3 linked regions of the Lonchura striata genome follow. The protein of the gene in region 1 interacts with the protein of each later gene in a pairwise test. Links are inferred from orthologs where the notes say so. Each region holds a gene or a part of one and is shown in the gene's direction. Other genes may lie near its edges.

Region 1 (7,599 bases):
GCACCCCAGAGCCCCCCCAGGCACTGTCCCCCTCGGGCAGGACACCTGTGACAGTCTCAGTGTTGGGGACAAGTGGGTGGCCCTCTGAGAAGGTTGGGGACATGTCCCCCCACGTTTTGGAGAGCTCAGTGTGCTGGGGGTGGCAGAGGGAGCACCCCCAGCTGGGGACATCAGTGTCCCCCTGGACAGGTTGTGAATGTGTCCCCCCAAATGTCGGGGGGCTCAGCGTGCCGGGGGATGGCAGAGGGAGCACCCCCAAGTCAGGGACATCAGTGTCCCCATCAGGGCACTGCCAGGGACATCAAGCCAGCACAAGGGCCCCCCCCCTTGTCGCCATGGATCCGCGGGGATGGGGGAGCCCCCAGCACCCTTCTGAGAGTGGGAAGACCCTCCTAGGAGACCTGGCACCCCCTCCTCGTGCCCCAGCACCCCCATCCCGCTGGGGCTGCACCCCTGCCGTGCCCCCCCGCCATGCTGTGCCACCCCTGCCGTGCCGTGTCCCCAGCCCGTGTCCCCAGCCCGCCGCGGGGCCAACGCGCTCTGCTCTGCTCTGCTCTCTCCCTCTCCCCCAGGCCAGTAGCTTCCAAACCCTCCTGCAGCAGCAGGCCCGGCTGGAGGTCCTGGCTAGAAGGGTCACCTTGCTGGAAGCCATCATCTGGCCAGGTAACCACCCCCGCCCCGCCCCGCATCAGCCCGGAGCGCCGCGGCACCCCGGGAGCGGGCATGGAGCACGGGGGGCTGGAGCCACCACAACGGGGCACCGAGAGCTCCGGGGCCACGGGAGAGCTCGGAGACCTGCTTGGACTGAGAGGGGCAGCCATGGAGATCTCTTGGATTTAGCCATGAAACCATGGAGATCCTCCAGGATTGAGAGGGGCAACCATGGAGATCCTCCAGGATTGAGAAGGGCAACCATGGAGATCTCATGGATTGAGAAGGGCAACCATGGAGATCTCTTGGATTTAGCCATGCAACCATGGAGATCTCTTGGATTTAGCCATGCAGCCATGGAGATCTCTTGGATTGAGAGGTGACCATGGAGAGCTCTTGGATTGAGAGAGGCAACAATGGAGATCCTCTTGGACTGAGAGGTGAACATGGAGATCTGTTTGGATTAAGAGGTGACTATGGAGATCTCTTGGATTGAGAAGGGCAACCATGGAGATTCTCCAGGATTGAGAAGGGCAACCATGGAAATCTCTTGGATTGAGAGAGGCAACCATGGAGATCACTTGGATTTAGCCATGCAACCATGGAGATCCTCTTGGATTGAGAGGTGATCATGGAGATCCTCTTGGATTGAGAGGTGACCATGGAGATCTCTTGGATTTAGCTATGCAATCATGGAGATCCTCCTGGACTGAGAGGTGACCATGGACATCCTCTTGGATTGAGAGGTGACCACGGAGATCCTCTTGGCTTGAGTGAGGCAACCATGGAGACCTCTTGGATTTAGCCATGCAACCTTGGAGATCTGTTTGGATTGAGAGGTGACCATGGAGATCTGTTGGATTGAGAGGTGACCATGGAGATCCTCCTGGATTGAGAAGGGCAGCCATGGAGATCCTCTTGGATTGAGAGAGGCAAACATGGAAATACTCTTGGATTGAGAGGTGACCATGAAGATCTCTTGGATTGAGAGGTGACCATGGAGATCCTTGTGGGCCAAAGGAAACTGGAGCCTGCCACGGTTTAAGGGAGACCATGGAGAGACCCTCTCACCCCAAGGGAGCTCATGGAGACCCCTCTTGGACCAAGAGGAACCCTGGAGCTCTTTAGAGTTCCAGGGAGCCCATGGAGAGACTCTCTTACCCCAAGGGAGCCCATGGAGACCCTTGTACTACTAGGAACCCTGGAGCTCTTTAGGGTTCCAGGAGCCCATGGAGAGACTCTCACTCCAAAGGAGACCATGGAGACTCCTCTTGGACCAAGAGGAACCCTGGAGTTCTTTAGGGTTCCAAGAAGCCCATGGAGAGACTCTCACTCCAAAGGAGACCATGGAGACCCCTCTTGGATCAAGGGGACCCATGGAGGTCCCTCAAGGCCAAGGGAAGCTCCAGAGCCCCTCTGGAACCATGGGAGACCACAGAGCCTCTCTTGAGCCAAGAGGAACCCTGGAGCTCCCCAGGGCTCCAGGAAATCCTGGGAGAAGGGAGACCCTGGAGACCCCCTCAAGCTAAGGGAGGCACACGGACCCCCCAGGCTCACCGGAGCCCACGGGGACCCCTCGGACCGAAGCAGCTCCCAGCGCTCCCGTTGTCCCAAGGGATCCCCCAGTGCCAACCCCCCCGTGCCAGGGTGCCCCCCACCCTCACCCCCCCGCCCCCTCCCCATTCCAGCTGTGCTTTCCCAGGGCTCCAACCGGGGGTGCCAGGCAGGGGTGCCAGCTGGGGGGTCCTCGGGTGGGTGTCCCCAGGGCTTGGGGACACTCAGAGCCACAGTGGGGCAGTGACCCCCATTTCTGCGGGGCACAACACCCACAGCACAGCCCCCGGCGCCGATTTGGGGGATTACAGAGCTGGGGGGGTGACACCCCACCCCTGACACCCCTTTTTTCCTCTCCTCCCACAGAGCCAGAGCCCGGCTCGGGCAGCGGTGTCCCCAGCACAGCCACCCCCGGGGTGCCCCACGGCAAGCGTGGCAGCGGCCACCCCCCCTACCGCATCGTCACCGCCGCCCGCCGCGCCCCCCCGGAGCCGTGACAGGGGCGTCACCCGGGCCACCCCCGCCGTGCCACCCTGGGGAGCAGGACGGGCTCAGCCCCGTCCCCCCTCTTGGTGCTACTGGTGGCACGGCACCGTCCCCCCACCACGCTTCGCCCCCATCGCCGCTGCTTGAGTCCCCGGGAGGGCCAGGGCTGTCCCCAAGGCCATTTCTGTCCCCCGGGCAAGGCGCAGCTCCGGGGGGGTGGGCTCTGTCTCATCCCACCTCCCCGGGCACCCCAGCCCAGGGGAGGGGATTGGGGGGCTGGCGGTGGGCACCCCCCGGGCGGGGAGCCCGCCGTGCTGCGCGCTTCGCTGCTTGGGGACCCGCCAGGTCATTAAATGTCCCCAAATCCCTGTCCTGTGGGGTCGCTTGGTGCGCCGGGGTGACCCGGGCACCTGTGGGGTGGGATGGGATGGGATCTATGGGATGGGATCCATGGGATAGCATCTATGGGATAGGATCTATGGGACCCATGAGGTGGGACCTATGGGATGGGATGGGATGGGATGGGATGGGATGGGATGGGATGGGATGGGATGGGATGGGATGGGATGGGATGGGATGGGATGGGATGGGATGGGATAGGATCTATGGGATGGGATCCATGGGATCCATGGGGTGGGATGGGATCCATGGGATGGGACGGGATGGGATCCTTGGGATGGGATGGGATGGGATCCATGGGATGGGATCTGTGGGATGGGATCTATGGGATGGGATGGGATTCCTGGGATAAGATGTGACCCATGGGATGGAATGGGATGGGATGGGATGGGATGGGATCCATGGGATGGGATCCATGGGATGGGATAGGATCTATGGGATGGGATCAATGGGATGGAATGGGATGGGATGGGATATGATCTATGAGATCCATGGGGTGAGACCTATGGGATGGGATGGATTGGGATGGGATGGAATGGGATGGGATAGGATCTAGGGGATGGGATCCATGGGATCCATGGGGTGGGATGGGATCCATGAGATGGGACGGGATGGGATCCTTGGGATGGGATTGGATGGGATGGGATGGGATTGGATGGGATGGGATGGGATCCATGGGATGGAATGGAGTTCAGGGACACCCAGGGGACACATGGCTGTGCCATGGGACACCCACCCGCGATGTGACACCAATCCATGCAACATCAGCCCCGGGACACCCACCCGCATCCCACCACCCATGGGACACCCAGCTGTGCCACCACAGCCCGGGTCACCCCCAGTACACGCAGGACACGCGGTACCCCCTCATGTCCTCATGGGACATGATGACGTCATGCAGCGATGACACGCGGTGACGTCACTCTGCCACGCTCGCCACGTGGGCAGCGTGCAATGCCAACCACAGCACGGGCACCCCAACGAGCACCCGCCCTGCCACTTCTCGGCACCTGGCGAGGTCGCACACAGCCCGTGGCGCCAGCCGCCGGCCGGTGACACCGAGTGACCGACCTCACGGCCAGGAGGCGCCGCCAGGCCCCCCCCGCGGCACGGCGCGTGACGTCACGGCAGCCCCGCCACGCCGCAATGACATCACTACGCCGGCCGTGACGTCACGCCCCCGCCGCGCTCCCCGCTCCGCCTCGCGGCCCGAGCGCCTCTTGCGCGACGGTCCCTAACGGCCGCGGGCCGTACCATCCCTCCGCCCGGCGGGGGGGGGAAGCGCGCAGCGAGGCGGCGGAGCCGCAAACCGGAGCGGCGGCCGCTGCCGGCGGGGCCGTCCCGGTTCCCCGCGGACGGCAGCAGCGGCGGGCGGGCGGCGGAGCGGGGCGGGCCGAGCCCCCGGGGCGCGATCTGCCGGCGGCGCCCCCCGGGCGCGGGGTGGTGCGCGCGGCGGGGCCGGGCGGCGCATGCGCGGCGCGGGGCGGGGCCGGGCGGGCAGCGCGGAGGAGGAAGGCGAGAAAATGGCGTCGACGGGTGAGCGGGGCCGGGGCGGGCCGGGCCCGGGGCGGGCGGCGGGGCGGGACGGGACCCCCGGCAGCGCCGCCGCCCCCGCCGCGGAGCGGCCGGAGGGGCGCTGGGACGGCGCCGCCGGCCCGCGGCGCCGCGCCCGGGGGGCCGCTGGGGTCGGGCCGTGCAGGGCCCGTCCCGCCCGTGTCCCAGCGGTCCGCCCGCCCGGGCCGCGCCGGGGCCGCGGGTGTTTCCCCTCAGTGTCCGCTGCGGCTCTTGCGGCCGCTCGGTGCCGCCGGATCGCCGGGGCCCCGCGCTCGCAGCAGCCGAGGCCGAGCGGGGCTCGCTCCGGCCCTGCCGGGCGGCTCTGGCTGCGATGCGGGACGGCGGAGCGCCGCGGGTGGGAAGGGAGCCGGAGCCATCCCGGGGGCAGCGACACCTCCCGCTGCCCCTGCGGGCTCCCAGCCCGGCCCGCGGCACCGCCGGGCACGGAGCATCCTCTGGGATCTCCGCTCCAGCACCTCCCAGCCAGGAATTCCTGCCCAAAGTCCCATCCAGCTCTCCCCTCTGGCAGTGGGAGCCATTCCCTGTGTCCTGTCCCTCCATCCCTTGTCCCCAGCCCCTCTCCAGCTCTCCTGGAGCTCCTTTATGCCCTGGAAGGGGCTTTGAGCTCTCCCTGGAGCCTTCTCCTCTGCCAACTTTTCCCCACAGGGAGATAAGATGTTCCACCATCTCCATGGCTCCACATTTTTCTGAATGAAACGTTTTTCCACGAGGGCTCCAGCTGGATACAAATAGTTGGAGACTGAGACTCTCCAGCTCAGTACACCTTAAAGTACTTTAAATCCCAGCAGGATTTGACTCCCTTTAAAAGAAATGAGGATTTTCCTTTTTTCCAGCAAGGAAAATCTCCCAGGCCATGGAGTGTGAGGGAATATCACCAACAGCACCTTGGGGAGCTTGAAAAAGAAAAGTCAGTAAAGGAACATCTGCCAGTGGAATTGTCAGGATGGGGGTTAAAACCACAGCTGTGTTTTCCCTTAATTCATGGAATTGTTCCTCCTGGGAGCTGCTATTTTCAGCCTCTGGTGTGCTTCTGAGCCTTGTGAAATAAAAGGAAGAAGATTAATTTCCCCCTGGAAATAAAAGCCAGGAGATGGGTTTAACTAAATGAACCATAATATTATTTTTTATTAATGTTCCATGTTCCTCTAAATCCCAGCAAATTAAAAGAGAGGCATCACCACAGGCAAACTGCAAATTCCACACCTGGAATTAAATCCTGCAGAGGGGAAAATGTTGGGTTTAGGTGGGACTGGGGGAGGGCTGTGAGGAGAGGGGTTAATTGATACCCCTGCGTGGAGCTCGAGGCCAAAATGGGCTAAAAACAAATTAAATGAGGTTTTGGTGGCTGGAGGGTGAGCAGGGAAAAAAGTGGAGTGGTAGGGAAAGGGAAGCTGGATGAGGGGGACCAGGCATTAATTAACACTCAGGATTTAGCAGAACCACATGTAAAGTGAATGAAAAAAAAAAACAAACAAACCCAGAACCCTGAACTGAACAAGGAAAATGTTCCAGTATCCCACTTGCCAACCTGAGAGGGAAGTGGGAATGCTGCCAGGGGAGTTTAACAACTTGTGCCTTGTGTCCTGGGAGCAGGGAAAGCTTTGGAGAACTCCAAGTGTCTTCTTTCCCCGTGTGAGGTGTTCTGGGCAAGGTCAAAGGAATGGACAACTGCCAAGGATTCCTGCTGGGATCCCTGTTCCTGCCTCCAGCAGGGATCCAGGGGCTCTGCTCCTGCCCAGGGAGCAGGAGGAGAAGCTGGGAGCACCCCTGGAGGCTGGGCAGGAAGGGTTTAGTAGGGATGGATGCACAGGCTGGGGAACAGGAGGTTGTGCTGGATGGAAGCTGTGTTTTCCAAGTGATTCCTGGGGCTCCATGCCTTGGGAATTGTGGGATAATGGCATTAAAGCCAGGCAAAATTTGCTTCCTCAAGTTCTCCAGTGCAGGAGTTGAGCATGATCCGTGTGGGTCTCTCCCACTTGGGGATATTCCATGATTCTTGGGAGAAACTTGGATTTCTGGCCAAGGTGTGATGGTGATGGGAGCAGTGGAAACTCTTCCCGCACAGGGATGGTTGGGAGCAGCTCCACTGATGCAGCTTCTGGCTGTGGCCTCCACCAGGAGGTTCTGGGCTCATTCCTGATCTCCTGAGCACCTTCTGTGCTCCTGGCAGAGCTGGGGTCTCTGGCCAGGTCTGCTGGGAATGATGAATTCATCCGTGCTCCGGACCTTGGGTTGGGAGCTGGAGCTGTTGCTGCCTCTGAGGGAACTGGGAGCTGCAGTCCTTTCAAATTTAGCCTCCTAATTGCCATGTGGATTCATTTTCCATCCCTGCCAGCAAATCACTTCAGCACAGGCTTTGCTGCTGGGGTTTTCAGGATTTTGGTTCTCCTCCCAGTCAGTTGCTGACTTGGATTGAGGATCTGTGGAGGGAATCACTCCCATCTTCCCAGCTCCAGCCCTTCCAGGGGGACAAGTGGCTTTCCAGCCATCCATTTGTGTCCTTGAAAGGGAAGGAGTGAAGGTGGTGAAACCTTCCAGCCCAGCCCTTTCAGAGCAGGGTGGTGGGTTTGGAAGGCTCAGATCCCTGTTTTTCCTTTGTTCCAACCCAAATCCCCCCCTGCCAGCCCCCTGGGATCCATCCAAGGTGGCAGTTAAATTGAACCGGGGTCATTTGAGATCAAAGTGGCTGCTGCGAGCAGCAGGAACAATGAGGGGAAGGGAGGTTTTGTTCCCCTCCAAAAGGAGGACTGAAAATGTGCATTTACCTTCCACCCTTGGGAAACTGGAATTCCAGTGGTTTATAGCGAGCTGCAGGAGGAAATTCCAGCTGCTGTGCTCTTGGTCTCTTTAATTTTATTAAGCCTTTATCAATGTTTTTATTCTTCTCCTTTTCTTTTAGATTACAGTACCTATAGCCAAGCTGCAGCTCAGCAG
Region 2 (7,060 bases), on another chromosome or scaffold:
CTGCCCGACCATGGGCACAGCGCGGGCCGGGCGCCCCGCGGGGGCTCCGGGGCTCCAGCGCCCCACCGGGCCTGGCGCCCGGGCCTGGCCTCTCGCCGGGCGGGGACGGGGACACGGGGGCGAGCGGTGCGCGCACTCCAGTCCGAGACGAGGAGAACAAGGGGAAGAGGAGGATGATGATGCGAAGAAGCCGGTACCTGCCGCCCTCAACCACCCCCAGCCCGCGCCGCGCTCGCCGCCATCTTGCGGGGGCGGGGAGGCGGGGCAGCGGGCGGAAGGGTAGCGGGCGGCACCACCGCGAGCCTGCCGGGGGGAGCGCGCTCCTCCCCCGGCCCCGCGCAGCGCGTGGTCTGGCCCGGCCCGCCCGTTCCCGGTGCCCTTGGCGCGGCCGCTGCGGTCCCGCTGCGGCGCGAGCGGCGGTAATGGCGGGGTGGCGCGGGGCGGGACCGCTGTCGGGCCTGCCGGGAGCGCCTCGGCCGGGACACGGCGGCGGCGGGCGGGCGGGAGCGAGCGCCCCTCAGCCGTGGGGCTTTACGGCGGTCGGGTCCCGGGCAGGCCGGAGGCGGCTGAGCCGGGAGGTGGTGGGGCCGTGCCGCGAGTCAGCGGCCGGGCCCGGGGCGGGGGTTCCGCAGGGGTGCCCGCCTGTCCGCCTGCCTGTCCGCCTGCCTGGCCGCCCCACAGCGGCCGCGGCGCGAACGGCGGCGGAGTTCGCCCCCGGGAGCCGGCCGGGGTCCGAGCCCGCGGCTGTGTGACAGACCTCACTGCCATCCCGTGTAATTCCCTAATCTGGAAGGCTTTGGTTGGGTTGGGAAGGTTTGCTGGGCCCCTATAGTTTGGAGAGGTCTGCGAGGGGATCTCACTAATGGGTGTAAATATCTCAAAGACGGGTGCCAAACTCTTTTCGTTGGTGCCCAGCAATGGGACAAGGAGCAATAGCCATTGCTAAAACACAAGAAGTTCTGCCTCAAGACGAGGAAGAACTTCTTCAATTTGAGGGTTACAGAGCACTGGAACAGCTTTCCAGAGAGGCCGTGAAGTCTCCCTATCTGGAGACATTGAGAAACCACCAGGATGTGTTGACAGAGAGGTTGGACTGGATGATCTCCAAAGGTCCATTCCAACTGTAATGATTCTGTCATTCTGTGATTTTAGAAAAGTCCTTTCTTATCTGTCAGTCTCTGAGACTTGACGCAGATAATGAAGTCTCCTTCTACAGAAGTTTAGGTTATGAAAGTGTTTCTAATGCTTTACAGAGTAGCAAACTTCTATAGAATTGCTTTAAAGAGTAAATTAAAGAGATGTTTTATTTCTCTCCTGTTTTAGGATGAAATCCTTTTTCCCAGGGTTAACATTTAGGATTATTTCTAAGAAGGCCGGGTATGGGTTTGAGAGCAGCATGTTTCTCCCAGGAAGTGTTTGATAGCCTTCATGTATATTATGTAATTGTGGAATCCTAATAAGTGAGAGTAAAGGTGCCAAGCATGCACCAGTTTCCAAGTGCACAAGTATTAGTACCTCTTACCTCCTACACTTTTCTTTCTAGCAGTCATGGTGAATTTCGCCCAAGCTGTGCGTGAACACTGGGTTCACATCCTTGTTCCCTTAGGATTTGTGATTGGATGCTATTTGGACAGATGGAATGATGAAAGATTGTCTGCCTTCAGAAACAAGAGCTTATTATATAAAAGGTCTGCTTTATGATGCCTCTTGTATACGTATATAGTTATTATTCAAAGTGCTTCTCAGTTCTTTTTTAGTCATGATTGTAACCAAAAAAAGGGAAGAAAGGCCTAAAAATATCAAGCATTCATGAAGTGTTTTAGGTCAGTAATACCCTCTGAAAACGGAATCTTTAGAAGCTATCATCTTCATGAAAGAAAGAATCATTAACTGCTGTCAAGTTCGTGGTCATGAAATATGGAAACCATTATTTTAACTCTCTGTAACTTCAGCAGAAAACACAGTGCTTGAGTTTTTATTTTCTTTCTTAAATTTAAAATTATCACAGTGCTTTTTGACAAAATTCTTTTTATAAATGTGTGTTACTTAAAAGTAATTACCAAGTCCTTGAAAATTAACATACAACCTGCTATGTCTTCACTGAATTATGTGATTATATACACTGATGAGTTTGGGTTTTCTGGCTCTGGTTCCTCAGGGAGTATTTACATCAGAGAACTTCAGGCATTGACTCACCTGTGTCAGTTCTAATTCTGTATTAGGTCTTGAGGTTAACAAAAGAGGAGAGAAAAAAGTCATGTTGCAGAAACTGATAGTAGCTATCAGTTTTCTAGTGGATTTGTCTTTCCTCCTCTGGCCTCACCTAAATTCATTTTGAATAAGAAAGAAAGCTTTTGACATAATCCACTCCCCTGATACATTAGCACTTTTCTTAATGTATTTGTTAGTGAAGTTGGGCTGCTATGTCGGTGTCTTGTAAAAATCCCTTCTTCTTTCACATTTCTCTTTCCACTAAAGTAATGAATTGTTACATTTTAAAAAAGTAGAATTTTTCATTTTGGATCCAGTTAAAAGTCTGTTAACTACTTAGAAGTCAGCTGTTCTGTGCTTCCATTTAAATGAATGGAAATTCAGAGGACTCAATCCATTGAAGCTTTTGAAAGAAAGGAGGAAGTTTATCAGTATGGAAAGATTTTTAACTGACAGCAATTGCAAGGAAAATTAAATTTTTACATAAATCTCAAATTGAAGGTATGGTTGAATGTAAACTAACACAAATATTAATAATTATTCTAAAAATAATGATACTAATTTTAGTCTCTTCCCTCTTGTTTTTTGGGTTTTTTTCTACACAGGGAATTGAAGCCTGGTGAAGAAGTAACTTGGAAATAAAAGCTGATGATGAAAAGGAAGACATTTTTGTTTGATTCATCGTCTTACATATTGAAAGAACAGGAATATGATTTTTACCCTGAGAGGATACTACAGTAAAGGACATCTGCAGTTCATCAGTGCTAGTTTAATATCTGGTGTTACTTTTTGAAGATGATTTAATTACATGACTCATATATGTTCAGGAGTTCCATTAGTCCACAAGCATTGAGAGAATTTTCTTCCTTACTCTGGAAAGGAGAGGAAGAATTATAGAATAAACTATGCAAAAATCATTTATGTTGGTATTGCTGTGTATGGTGTGGAATCCGTGTGTTTATAGCTATTTCATGAACTAGCCTTCAAAGAAATACTTCCATAAATCCAGAATGTGTTTGACAGGTACTGAACCTGCTTAAGTTGCTTTCTGGATTGTCTCTGTAGGCTTGTTTGGAATAGTGGTTAAGCAGTTATTGAGGCTTTGTGAGCGGACCAGGAGGGTCTAAGGAGTGCGCAGCTGGTGAGCACAAGGCAGGAGCGGTGCCGGGCGCCGCTCCGCTCGGTGCGGGGGAAGCGGCGCGGGGCCGGTGCGGATAGAAGCGGCGCGGGGCCGGTGCGGATAGAAGCGGTACCGGGCCGGTGCGGATAGAAGCGGTACCGGGCAGGTGCGGATAGAAGCGGCGCGGGGCCGGTGCGGATAGAAGCGGTACCGGGCCGGTGCGGATAGAAGCGGTACCCGGCCGGTGCGGATAGAAGCGGTACCGGGCGGTGCGGATAGAAGCGGTACCGGGCCGGTGCGGATAGAAGCGGTACCGGGCCGGTGCGGATAGAAGCGGCGCGGGGCCGGTGCGGATAGAAGCGGCGCGGGGCCGGTGCGGATAGAAGCGGTCCCGGGCCGGTGCGGATAGAAGCGGTACCGGGCCGGTGCGGATAGAAGCGGTACCGGGCCGGTGCGGATAGAAGCGGTCCCGGGCCGGTGCGGATAGAAGCGGTCCCGGGCCGGTGCGGGGCCAGCCGGCAGAGGAGCGAGCCGGCGGCGGGTGTCGCTCCCCGCGGGCGCTGCTGCCGCGCGGGGGCGCTCGCGGCCAGCGACGGTTTAGCCCGCCGGCCTCCTCTCCGGCAGGGGGCGCCAGAGCGGCGGGCGGGCCGGGCGCAGCCGGCGGGGCCTGCCCTGCGCGGCCGGGGGGCGATGGGCGCTGCGATTGGCCGGGCGGGTCACGTGGGGCGGGGGCTGCGGCTGCCACAGTAAACATGGAGTCGATCTTCCACGAGCGGGTGAGCGAGGGAGGGAGGGAGCGAGTGAGGGAGGAGCGGGCGGATCCCGCTGCCTGCCCGCCTTGGGTACAGCGCCGTCGGTTGTGGCCTTCCGGGCCGCCGAGACGGGGGAGGCGCGCGAGCTCTCTCTGAGGATCCGCTGGGGCGGTGCCCGGGCCTCCCGCCCCGCGGGGCAGCCCCCGGAGCCCCGGGGTGCGCTCGGCCTGTGTCGGGCCGGGCCGGGCCGCGCTCTCCTTCCCTGGCGTCTCTCACCTCCGGCAGTGGCTTGCCCTCTGCCTTGGGCGAAAGCCAGGCCCCTCGCGCGACGGTGCCTGTGGCCCGTCCCAGCTGGACGTTGCCGTCCCTTCCAGCCCTCCAGGGAAAGGACAGTCAGGGCTGAGCCTCGGTGTCTTCTTTGGCACGGGAACCGTGTTCTGGGGACTGCAGAAACAGCCCCCGGGTGTGGGGAAGTGTAGGCTGCAGCTACTTCTCTTTCCTGAGAGAGAGCTCGCAAGGCTGAGAAATGAGTACGAGGAGAAGCAGCGGCAGGCGGGGCTGTCCCTGTGCGCTCAGAGCCATCTCGTCACCGAGCCTGGCTTGGCTGGGCTTGTGTAATGAGCACGGACTGGGAGAACCGCTAGAGAAATCGCAGTTCATATAATGTACTTCTGTGTGCCGAGCAGTATTTCCTGTTTTGGAGGAAAATGCTGCTGTGAACTGCTGTGTTTTATCCAGGTTCCCAAATATGACCTATTTCTGTTTTAATGCTGTTCAAAGTATAATTGGATTTTTTCTTGCACTTTGCCAATGTCTCTTCAACTTTATTGTGTTAATACTAGTTCTGTTACTTTGTTTTGTTATGTCGAATTTATTTAAGAAGTCAAGTAAGATAGCCGTGTGCTGTCCTTTAAAAAATTGCTGTTCTGAGATCCATAAAAACTGGGGAGTGCTCTTTCTGAGTAGGTTTGGGTTGCAAAATTTGGCGAGTGTTGTGGTGTTAAGTAGCTGCTGTTCAGAGGGCGAGTGTTGGATTTCAGCTGTGATGGCCTCTGCTTCAGTGACCTTCAGTCTGGCTTTGAAAACAGTTTAACAGATGCACTCTTCTTACGTGGCCTTGTCTATCACAGTATGAATTAACTTTTTATTACTGAATTGCTTTCTAGTTTAATAGCAAAGCTTGTGAAATTGAAGTGACAAAGCATAATACATTCAGAGTTACAAGGTGAGATGGTAACTTGTACTTTCTCTGCCTTCTGGGGAAGGGTGAGTTGACAGTCTCTCACGTGAAACATACCTGCTCCCTGGCAAGTTAGTAACACAGTTAAAAAGTTGCACATCAACATGTTTTAAGTTGGAAAGCCAAACATTTTTATTCTGTTATTATTTTAGGGAAAATCTAACTGAATTATTCTTTTTCTTAAGGGGTATTTTTTCCCCCATCAAGTGCTGTCAGAATATTTAGAAGCACTGCATGTTCCTGAGTCTGCATACTCCAGTTGTTTTGATAGAAACACACGAGGGACATGGTATTTATTAAGAAAATTTAATAAAACAACCAGCGTTGTGGCCTTTTTAGAGACAAATAGCAGTTGCAGAAAGTAGGATTTAAGTATGGGGCTTCAGGAGTCCCAATCTGCAAAGTTTGTCCTTTCCTTGGTAAGATAAAAGTGATCAAAAACATTGAAAGCAGGGCAGCATTTTATGTCAGGAGAGGTTTCAATGAGAGGATTTCAGCTTATGGTAAAGAAGCAGTGTTCTCTGCACAAAACAATGGAAGTTCATGTCAGTTAAATACTGTAGGATCTCTTTTTTGCATTTGGCACTTCATGTGTATGACTTTTACACATGAGAATTAAGGTTTATTACTTTCAGATAATGCTGTACAAATACAGAAAGGTCCTTTTAGTGAAATTAGTATGTAAGCATGTAATACAACTAATTCCAGTGGTATTTTAGTATCTCTCTCTTTTTCTATCAGTTTCATGTTACTCCAGTGAGGAAGCCTGTGATTGTTGAGCAGGTTCTTCTGTTCTTCTGTTGCAGTTTGGTCATATGACCAGCAGTAGGGATGTGGTCCCAGAGGGACAGAAATTTGTGTTTAGTCTTGAGTTTCTTGCTGCAGGAAGGGCATGAGCTGGAGGAGGCTTCTGGATTCCACTCAAGCCTGGCTGTACAGCCAGTGCAGCTTCAGTAACTCATTGTTCAACTGAGCGATGAAGCCATAGGAAGATTCTGGAATAAAGAGAACTTTTGAGGTTTCAACTGTAAGGGAGATCATGGGAGAGTTCTACATATGATTTGTATGATGCTTTTATGGAATTTTAAAGAATATTCCTCAAAGGCATATTTTTGTATTCTTAGTTTCTGTGGGGCTGGCTTGAGGGAGGGGTGTCAGATTTTTTCTTGAGGGGTTTTGTTTTTAATGAAGAGCATGTGTAGGAGAGTTCTTAATGTAAATAAAAATGAAATGAAGACTGATTAAAACAAAAGAGAAAAGCAGGATTTTAAAACTGATGTTACTTGTCTTGCACATGTAGTTACAGTTATTTGTAGGAAAAGGTTCCTTTTCATGAGAAACTGCTTTGCTTGGTTTATATTGTGGTTTGTTTTTAATGAGACAGTGTTGTATCTCATATATGAAAATGTTGGAGCCTGTCATGCATTCATTCAGATCAGAGATTTTTTTGAATTTGTACTAAAAAATCATGACTGACATTGTTAGTTAACTCTTTTAAAATTTGTGCCAGTGTTTTAAAAATCTTACACTATAGTTCTATTACCTGTAACGTGTTGCATATGTAACCAAGTATCTGGAGTGTTTTTTATTTGAATGGTCTATCAATAAAAAAAAATATTTATGTTGTTTAATATGCTGAATTTAATATTTTTCTCTTGTTTCCCCATAATTGTTTTCAGGATTTTCAAACTAGTGGCATGATTTTATCTACTTCCTCTATGTAAATTTCATGTTAAA
Region 3 (7,803 bases), about 8.1 Mb from region 1:
ACCCCAGTAAATTTAATCTCTCCATCATGTTAAATGTAGTAGCTTGATTTATTTCTCCTTGCAATCCAAACAATGCCAGCTTAGGTCCCCAAACAGTCGTGAGATTTCTTCCCCCCAGCTGGAAAAAAAAAAAGGGAAATACTATAAATCCCTCCCCAAGCTGATTTATGGAGCATTCATGAAGAATTTATATTGCAAAGGATTTTATTAAATTAAACTTGAAAAGCCTCTTGATTCCTGAGATTCAGTCTCAGAGCCAGAGCTCTCGTAAAACTGGAAGGAGCAGGCAGAGGGAATGGCTGAGGTGACACTGCAGCTGACGGGACCATCCAAATCCAGAGCATTTGTCACCAGGATGTGTTCCAGGCTGAGGCTTGGAAAATTACTCCATGAAAAATGTGCATTAACAAGAGGCATGAAATATCTGCCTCAAACCCAGGTGAGTGATGAGCCAGGAGATCTGTTAGTGCTGGGCACTCCTCACTCATTCCTGGGCATTTTTTACTGGCCAAAAAAGGGACACAGAGCCAGAGATTCTTTGGAGAACAAGTTTAAGGTTGGTTCTACTCAAATAATTGAACGGGAGAAGGGGCAGGATGGATTTAAAAGCTGCATCACCACCTTGCAGCCCACACCATTCCCAGGGGGAAAAATTACACCAGCAGGCTTCCCATGGGCTCTTCCCAGTAGTATTTCCAAGCTGGAAGCAGTTTGGACATGAGTGCAAAGCTGGAACTGTGTGTGTGATGTGGGTGTGAGCTCCCTCCAGCAATGTTCCAGGGTCAGCACAGACACCCTGGGAGGAACCCTCGGGGTGCTGCCCCTCTCACCCAGCTCCTCACCCCAATCCCTTTTCCTGCAGCCTCAGTGCCCTGGGTGCTCCCAAACCCTGGGCTCTGCTCCTCCAGCTGTTCCTGCAGCTGGTCCCACCATTCCAAGGGACAGCTCCATGTGTAGACAACCCCAGCACGCAGACCCTGGGATTTGGCCTTTCCTGCTTCACCCCCTCCATTCTGTGAGCCTCGTTCCTGGCAGAGGATGCACAGGATTGTCAGCACAGAGACATTCCTCACATGCACAACAAGAGGCAGCCAGAGCCAAGGAATTCTTGGTGCATTCCTGTAAATCTGTACAGCTCAGCTCCAGCCAGAGCTGATGGATTGGAAGGGACTTGGAGCAGCAAAGCACACAGGGCTCGGTGTTAAAACGTGACAGTTTGTGGCCCTTTGGTACAAGGAAATTCACATTTATTATTCCAGAGCTGTGGACACAATTCCCAAAGGCCTCCAGCTGCTGCTCTACACGAGCGCTGTGCCTTCAAAGGAGGAGCTGATTGTTTTCCCTTCATCATCCCTCAGAGTCCTGTCAGAGCCTTCCCACAGCACCTGCTGCTGCCCAGGGAAATGAAGGCATCTCCAAAATGTTAAGGAATTCTCCTGCCTCACTCCCACCTGGGAGAAGCAGTGACTCCAGAGCCATCCTCAAATGGGATGTGTGGGCCAGGCCCAGGGATAGGACAGATGTGTCTGAGTCCCTTCCAACTCAGGATATTCTGTGATTCTGTTCTTCTCAGGATTTATCAACAAGTTCCTGGTTATGTCACATGGAAATCCTTGGCAGCTCCCATTTCCACTCCAGGCTTGCTCTCTCTCCCTTCCTTGATTGACAAAAGCAGTCAACTGGATTTAGTTTTCCATAATAAAGGAAAAGACATTCCAGCTCCAGCTAGGGCTCAGGTTTTATGTAGATTTTCTCTTCCTTCCCTTCCTTCATTGCAGCATAACGTGCCAGGACAAAGAGATAATCACTGAGCCTGGAAAGCAAGGGAAAAGCAGGAAAACCAGGGATCTTATCCAGAAGAGAAGCTTGTTGAGAAGCAAAACCCCCCAGTTCCATTCCCAGGACTAAGGGAATGCTTCAGTAGGACAGGGCAACAGGTTGGGGTTTTATTTTTTTACCTGTTTAAATACTTGGCCACGTTTGGATCTGCTTCCCCTGCTTGGACTAAAGGGACCACACTGGAAAAGCAAAGGGAAATGCTGGTGTTTAATTTTCCAGCTCTGAGTGCACAAAGGCTGGAGCCTCCTCCCACCCCAAACCTCTCCTGGGGTCCCCAGTTTGACTCCTGCAGAAATGAAGGACTTTTGCTTCCCAGAGGGATCTGGGCAGGGTAAATGATGCCAGAAATGTTTGTGTCTGGGAAATCACTGAACAGAGAGAGACTCTTTTATTTACAAGGGCCTGGAGTGACAGGACAGAGGGAATGGATTCCCACTGCCAGAGGGCAGGGTTAAATGGGATATCGGGAAGAAATTCTTCCCTGTGAGGGTGGTGGGGCCCTGGCAAGGCTGCCCAGAGAAGCTGTGGATATCTCATCCCTGGAAGTCTCCAAGGCCAGTTTGGATGGGGCTGCAGAATCCCAAAAGGTTTAGGTTGGATGACCCAGCTAAGGGGAAGGAAGAGAGCCTGGCTGGAATTGGACTAAACACACAAAAGCTTGGCTTGAGCCCCCAGCCCAGCCCTGGTTTGTATCACTGGGGTGTCCCCATCCCCTTTCCTCAGGGTGATCCCAGCACTCACCACCTCTCAGCCCTGCGGCACACGGCTCGGGAAAAGTGGAGAGCAGCACTGCTCCTGCCTCCAGACTGGAACAGCAAGGGAACACCACTCAGTGTCTGCACCAGCAGGGACAGCTCCCCCTCCCCTCCCACACACATGGAGCTGATCCCTGTGCCATGGCCAGGCAAGGGAGGGACATCCCAGTGCAGCAGGGTGGGCAGAAGTAACTCCCAGCTCCTCGTCTCTGCTTTTTTCTCAGTGCTTGCCTATGGAAATAGCAGCCTTCCAGGCTGTTTTCCCATGGTGAGCAGTGGAGCAGGGCTACCCCAAGGAAGTGAGGGGCACAGGCAGCACCTACGGGCAGGATGAAGGCTCTGAGGGGAGGGAGCTGCTCTGAGTAACTGTCAATCCACTGCTCCAGCTCCAGGACGGGCTTCTCACTGAACGACGTTCGTTCTACAGAGGGAAAAGAAGAAACAGCTGAAAAAAAGTGATTCAGACAAAAAACTGAACTAGTATAGTGAAAAATGTGGTGATCCCCGACTCAGGGAAGAAAATTATGATGTCTGGCTTCAGATCAGAAGGCTGAAGGACAGCTTTATTAAAATTATAGTATTCTACATACTTATTTACCTATCTAACTAACTGCAAACTTGTGACTCTGTGCTGAGAACCCAAGCCACAGCTGGATCCACTGGTCACTGACCCCAAACAACCTTCACCAGAACCCAACCCAGCAATCACTGCAGGTAAACAATCTCCACACCACATCCCACATAGGGAAAACAAAGGAGCAGAGATAAAGATTTTCTTCTCTCAGCGCTACCCCTGAGAGACAGAATTATGTCTCTCTGTCCAGAGAATGTGAATGTCACATACTCTGATTTTGCTTTCTTGGATCAGCAAGTCCTAAGAAACCAAATCCATCCCTCAGCATCCCAACCACCCACGCCAGGCTGTGCCCAAGCCCTGCCACTCCAGGAAAGGCAGGACTTACTCCGGTGAGCCTCCCTGGCCGAGGAGAGCGGCGTGGCGAGGTTGGAGCCCACATCCTGCAGCATGCACTGCACCTGGACAAAAATCACAGCTGCTGTCACTCTCAGCCGTGGCTTTTTGCATTCCTGTGCTCAGTTTGCCTGGCAAACTCACAGGCTGCCCAGGCAGGACCTGTGTCACTGCTCTGCCCTTATGCTTGGTTTGTGTCCCAGTTTCAAACATGGAGTTCTGTTACGACAAAACTCATGTTCACAATGTGGACCTCACTTGGGATAAATCTAGAGATTAATCTGTCTGCCCATAACTAATAATTTGATCTATCAGCTTCCTTCTTGGTTAAATAAATTTGCCTCTTAGAGAGCAATCAAGGGAGTCTTAAAGATTTATATATTGAAATCCTAAATGTATTCAATTCCTGTGTGTCAGTGGGAGCACTGTGGTTAAAATTAAGGAGTGCATGTTTTTATAGCACTGGATGAAGATTATCCTTAATACTCACTTTATGAAGTTGATCAACAAACGTGTGGCCCTTTTCACTGCTAAACTCACCAGCCAGCCTTGGTTAGAGTGAAAAAAACAAAACAAGAGTTAGCTGGGAATGAAGAAATCACAACAACCACGCTTTTCCATGTGGTTTGGATTCTCCCAGCCGGTCCTTACCCGATGGCCGAGCTCAGCTCGTCCGTGGCTCCCAGGGCCTCGAAGATGCGGTCGCCCTTGGGCCGCCGCTCCCCGGTGAAGGTGCTGGAGAATCCTTTGGGAAAGGGGAGAGGCGCTCAGGGCTGGGCTGGGCAGCTCTGCCCGCGGCTCCCCGGTGCCCCCCGGGCTCTACCTGAGTCTCCCGTCCTCGTGTAGATCCTCGGGGCCCGCTCGGCAGCGGCGCGCTCGGGGCTGTGGAGGCACAAACCGTGAGGGGACACCGTGGGGGCGGGGGGCGCTGTGAGGGGAAGAAGCACACCGTGAGGGACGGAACGACACCGAGAGGCAGTCCCGGCCCTCCCACGCTCACCTGCCCGCCCCGCCATGCCCCGCAGTCCCCGTCCCGCCGCCGCCGCCCGCCGCCACATCCCTCCCGGCCGCCGTCACCGTCCCGCCCTCAGCCCACGCCGTCACCCCAGCGCCGCACCACCCCGCCACGCCCCCTTCCCATTGGCCGCCCGCAAGTCCCGCCCTCTCAGCGCGCCCTGCTATTGGCTGAGCGCAGGGAGGCGGGACAAGGGCGCGGCTGCGATTGGTGGGTGGGGCTGTCAGTCGGCGTGGGCCGTGAGGCGGCGGCGGCGATGTGGCGGCGGGAGCTGGCGGTGTCGGCGCCGGGCAAAGTGATCCTGCACGGGGAGCACGCGGTGGTGCTGGGCAAGGTGAGGGCACGGCGGGCACCGTGAGGGCTGCCCAGATCGGTGAGGGCACGGCGAGGGCTGCCCAGCTCGGTGAGGGCACGGCGGGCACCGTGAGGGCCGCCCAGCTCGGTGCGGCCTCGCTGAGCCCCGTTCTCCGCCCGCAGGTGGCCCTGGCCGTGGCGCTGGACCTGCGGACGTTTCTCTGCCTGCGGCCCGGCGCTGAGGGCCGGCTCAGCGTCTCCCTGCCCGGCGTCGGCGTCCGGAGGAGCTGGGACAGCCCCGGGCTGCGGGCCCTGCGCGGGCGGATCGCAGGCAAGGCCCGGGGAGAGGAAGGAGGCGCTGCCCCGGGGCACTGAGGGGCTCTCGGGACCGTTCGGTGCCCGCTGCACCCCGGTGACCGTGCTGGGACTCCCGCCATGAGGTGACCTCGCAGAACCCCCGTGGGGTGACTCTGCAGGGACCCCCGTGGGGTTATTTGTCCCCCCTGTCTCTGACCCCACTCACTGACCTGTCCCTGCTCCTCTCAGTTACTTACATTCCCCTTGTGACCCTGCTGATGCTCAGGTGGCCCTGTCCCCTCCTGGTTTGGGTTCCAGGGACTTGTTCTGGTGCTGTTGTGGCTCAGGCAATGTTGTGACACAGGCAGGAGTCAGCCTGAGCCTGTTTTCCTGCCTGTCTGTCCCACACCAGCCCTCATGGGAATTTCTGCAGCACCTTGTACTGGCTGGAGCCCCAGGATATCCCAGTTCCAAAATCCCCATTCTTTAATGAAGAGTTTGTGACTTGCTGTGTTTTCCATAGTGAGTATGGATGGATGCACTGGGAGGTGTAGGCAGGAAATGTGGAGTGTGGAAACCCTGGGATTTCAGAGTGCCTGGTGGAGATTTTGCTTTTATTTTATCACAGATCCTCAGGTAGAACCTGAAATTGGCCCCAGCTGTTTCTGCCTGCTGTAACAGAAGGTTTTGTTGCAAATACTGCTCTCAGTGTAACAATTCCCTGGTTTTTAAGTGTTTAAACTCTCCCCTGCTTGCTTCCATAGCTGATGAAGATGAGTCCAAGTCCCCCAGTGTAGAACAGCTGGATGCACTGAGGGAGTTTGCTGGAATTGCTGCTGGGGCTTCAGCTCCAGAAAGTCTTGCTACTCTTGCCTTCCTGTATATGTGCCTGGCTATTTCTGCTAAGTATGGGTAAGGCTCCACTCCTGCCCCAAAATTTTGGTGGTGGGTGGCTGCTTCAGGCAGGTGAGCTGGGAGTCTCTGCTCTCACTTAGTTTTGAGGGCTGAAACCAGAGCAGTTCATGCCACAGTCGCAACACACACACCCCTCCCTCCAGCAGGCAGCTCCTGTCATCCTGGCTTAGGCTGGAAAAACAGAAATAAACTGTGAATTTATTGTCTGAACTGAGTCTGATCTCTTTATGGGCTGAATCTGCCTAAAAAAACTCTGGGAACTTGGGGCTATTCCAGTTCTCAGCCTTGCCCCAGCACTGTCAATGATCTTGGTGTGACTGGATGGGTGCTCAGGGCAGTGTCAGAAACCACAGCAGAGCCCAACTTCCCTATTCTCATCCAGGAAATCCAAGGATAAAGAACTGGGTTGTGGTTTCCTTGCACTCTTAGGGTGGCACTGGGGCTGTCACTCAACAACCCTGAAAACCTCCTGGGTTTGATTCTGGGGTCTGTAACACAACCCAGGTGTGTTCAGTGGAGCAAAGGGACATGGATATGTCCATGTTCCATCTTCCCCACCAGCCTCTTGCTCCAGTGGGATGTGGCTGTGCAAATACACATTTGGGATGTTTACACTTTATTCAGAAATGTGTTTGCAATCCTGTTTACAGCAACCTCTGAAGGGGCTCTTTATGGTGCTGCTCAGGTATTTGGTTACAAACTGCCCCTGCTAGCAGCCTGACAAGCTGTGCCAATCATGGATCCACTCAGGAGGGCTTTATTCCAGCACAATGGCTTGGCCAAGGCTGCTCCATTCAGGAATGAGCCCTCCTGAAGCCCCAGAGTGTCAGATGCATGTGCTGATGTTGCAAGTTCTCAATCAGCTTTCCCTTTGATCAGTCCTAACTGGCCTCCTTTGCATTTTAAACGTTGGCTGGAGATGGAATTCAGGGTGCTTGTGTCAGTCCCTGTCTGTTTTACCAGGGATGTTCCCAGCGTGGAGATCGTGGTGTGGTCGGAGCTGCCCACGGGAGCAGGGCTGGGATCCAGTGCTGCCTATGCTGTGTGCCTGGCTGCAGCCCTGCTCATGGTGTGTGGAGCCATCTCCTGCCCACTGCAGGAGGGAGAATCCACAGCCAGGTAAGGAATTCCAGCCTGGGATGCACAGCTCTGCTCCCTGTGCCCCACCTTTCCTTTTACCTGCAGGAATTCTGGCACTGCCACCTCTGCTGGTTTCTCTTGGCTGTCACCACAACTGACACCGAGAGCCCATCTCCTGTCCATGCCCAGAGTTCCCAGCCCTCTCCCAGACTTTGTAAAACTCCCCGTTTCCCTTGTTTAGGGTCAGATAAACATACCTGAAAAGGGGGGGAAAGGCTTTATTTTTTCCAGTCAAATAAAACACACTGAAATTTTTCAAACTCGGTCTCCTCTGGCTCTGAGCATCTTCCAGGTTTTGTTTTGAGTCCTCGAGGATCCTTTCTGGGATTTCTTTTTGCATTTCCCATGAATTCTTTTCTGCATGTGCTACATTTCCTCCTGATCTCCTGCCTGTCTTTCCCTTTTATCAGTACCTGATGAAAGAGAGTTTCTTTCCTTCTGCCCTTGGAGCTCCCCTTTGGAAGCCTGGAGTGCTGTGCCCCTGTGAGAGGGAGCTCTGTTTGAAGCTGTTAAAAATCAAAGCTGGAGGGGCAGACCCTCTATTGTGTGGGATTTTTTGTGGGGCTGAGAGCAAGACA

The links.
Region 2: the proteins of EWSR1 (region 1) and ATXN3 interact in binary tests that used the Homo sapiens proteins (3 or more experiments, as listed by UniProt). The link is inferred for Lonchura striata from reciprocal best matches to the Homo sapiens genes EWSR1 and ATXN3.
Region 3: the proteins of EWSR1 (region 1) and MVK interact in a two-hybrid assay, tested with the Homo sapiens proteins (2 studies listed by BioGRID and IntAct). The two-hybrid records come from large-scale screens. The link is inferred for Lonchura striata from reciprocal best matches to the Homo sapiens genes EWSR1 and MVK.

What each region holds. Positions count from the first base shown.
Region 1 is NC_134620.1:3,037,449-3,045,047, reverse strand, and holds the start of EWSR1 (RNA-binding protein EWS), read left to right. Parts: upstream 1-4,565; 5' UTR 4,566-4,613; coding exon 4,614-4,626; intron 4,627-7,564; coding exon 7,565-7,599. UniProt on the Homo sapiens protein: Binds to ssRNA containing the consensus sequence 5'-AGGUAA-3'. Might normally function as a transcriptional repressor. EWS-fusion-proteins (EFPS) may play a role in the tumorigenic process.
Region 2 is NC_134608.1:16,337,412-16,344,471, forward strand, and holds the start of ATXN3 (ataxin-3), read left to right. Parts: upstream 1-4,056; 5' UTR 4,057-4,083; coding exon 4,084-4,107; intron 4,108-7,060. Other genes in the region: NDUFB1 (NADH dehydrogenase [ubiquinone] 1 beta subcomplex subunit 1), read left to right, coding at 1,549-1,688, 2,817-2,853. UniProt on the Homo sapiens protein: Deubiquitinating enzyme involved in protein homeostasis maintenance, transcription, cytoskeleton regulation, myogenesis and degradation of misfolded chaperone substrates.
Region 3 is NC_134620.1:11,140,530-11,148,332, reverse strand, and holds the start of MVK (mevalonate kinase), read left to right. Parts: upstream 1-4,799; 5' UTR 4,800-4,835; coding exon 4,836-4,913; intron 4,914-5,056; coding exon 5,057-5,204; intron 5,205-5,934; coding exon 5,935-6,082; intron 6,083-7,048; coding exon 7,049-7,204; intron 7,205-7,803. Other genes in the region: corrinoid adenosyltransferase MMAB, read right to left, coding at 2,047-2,446, 2,581-2,645, 2,918-3,015, 3,557-3,629, 4,055-4,112, 4,216-4,309, 4,388-4,492, 4,565-4,622. UniProt on the Homo sapiens protein: Catalyzes the phosphorylation of mevalonate to mevalonate 5-phosphate, a key step in isoprenoid and cholesterol biosynthesis.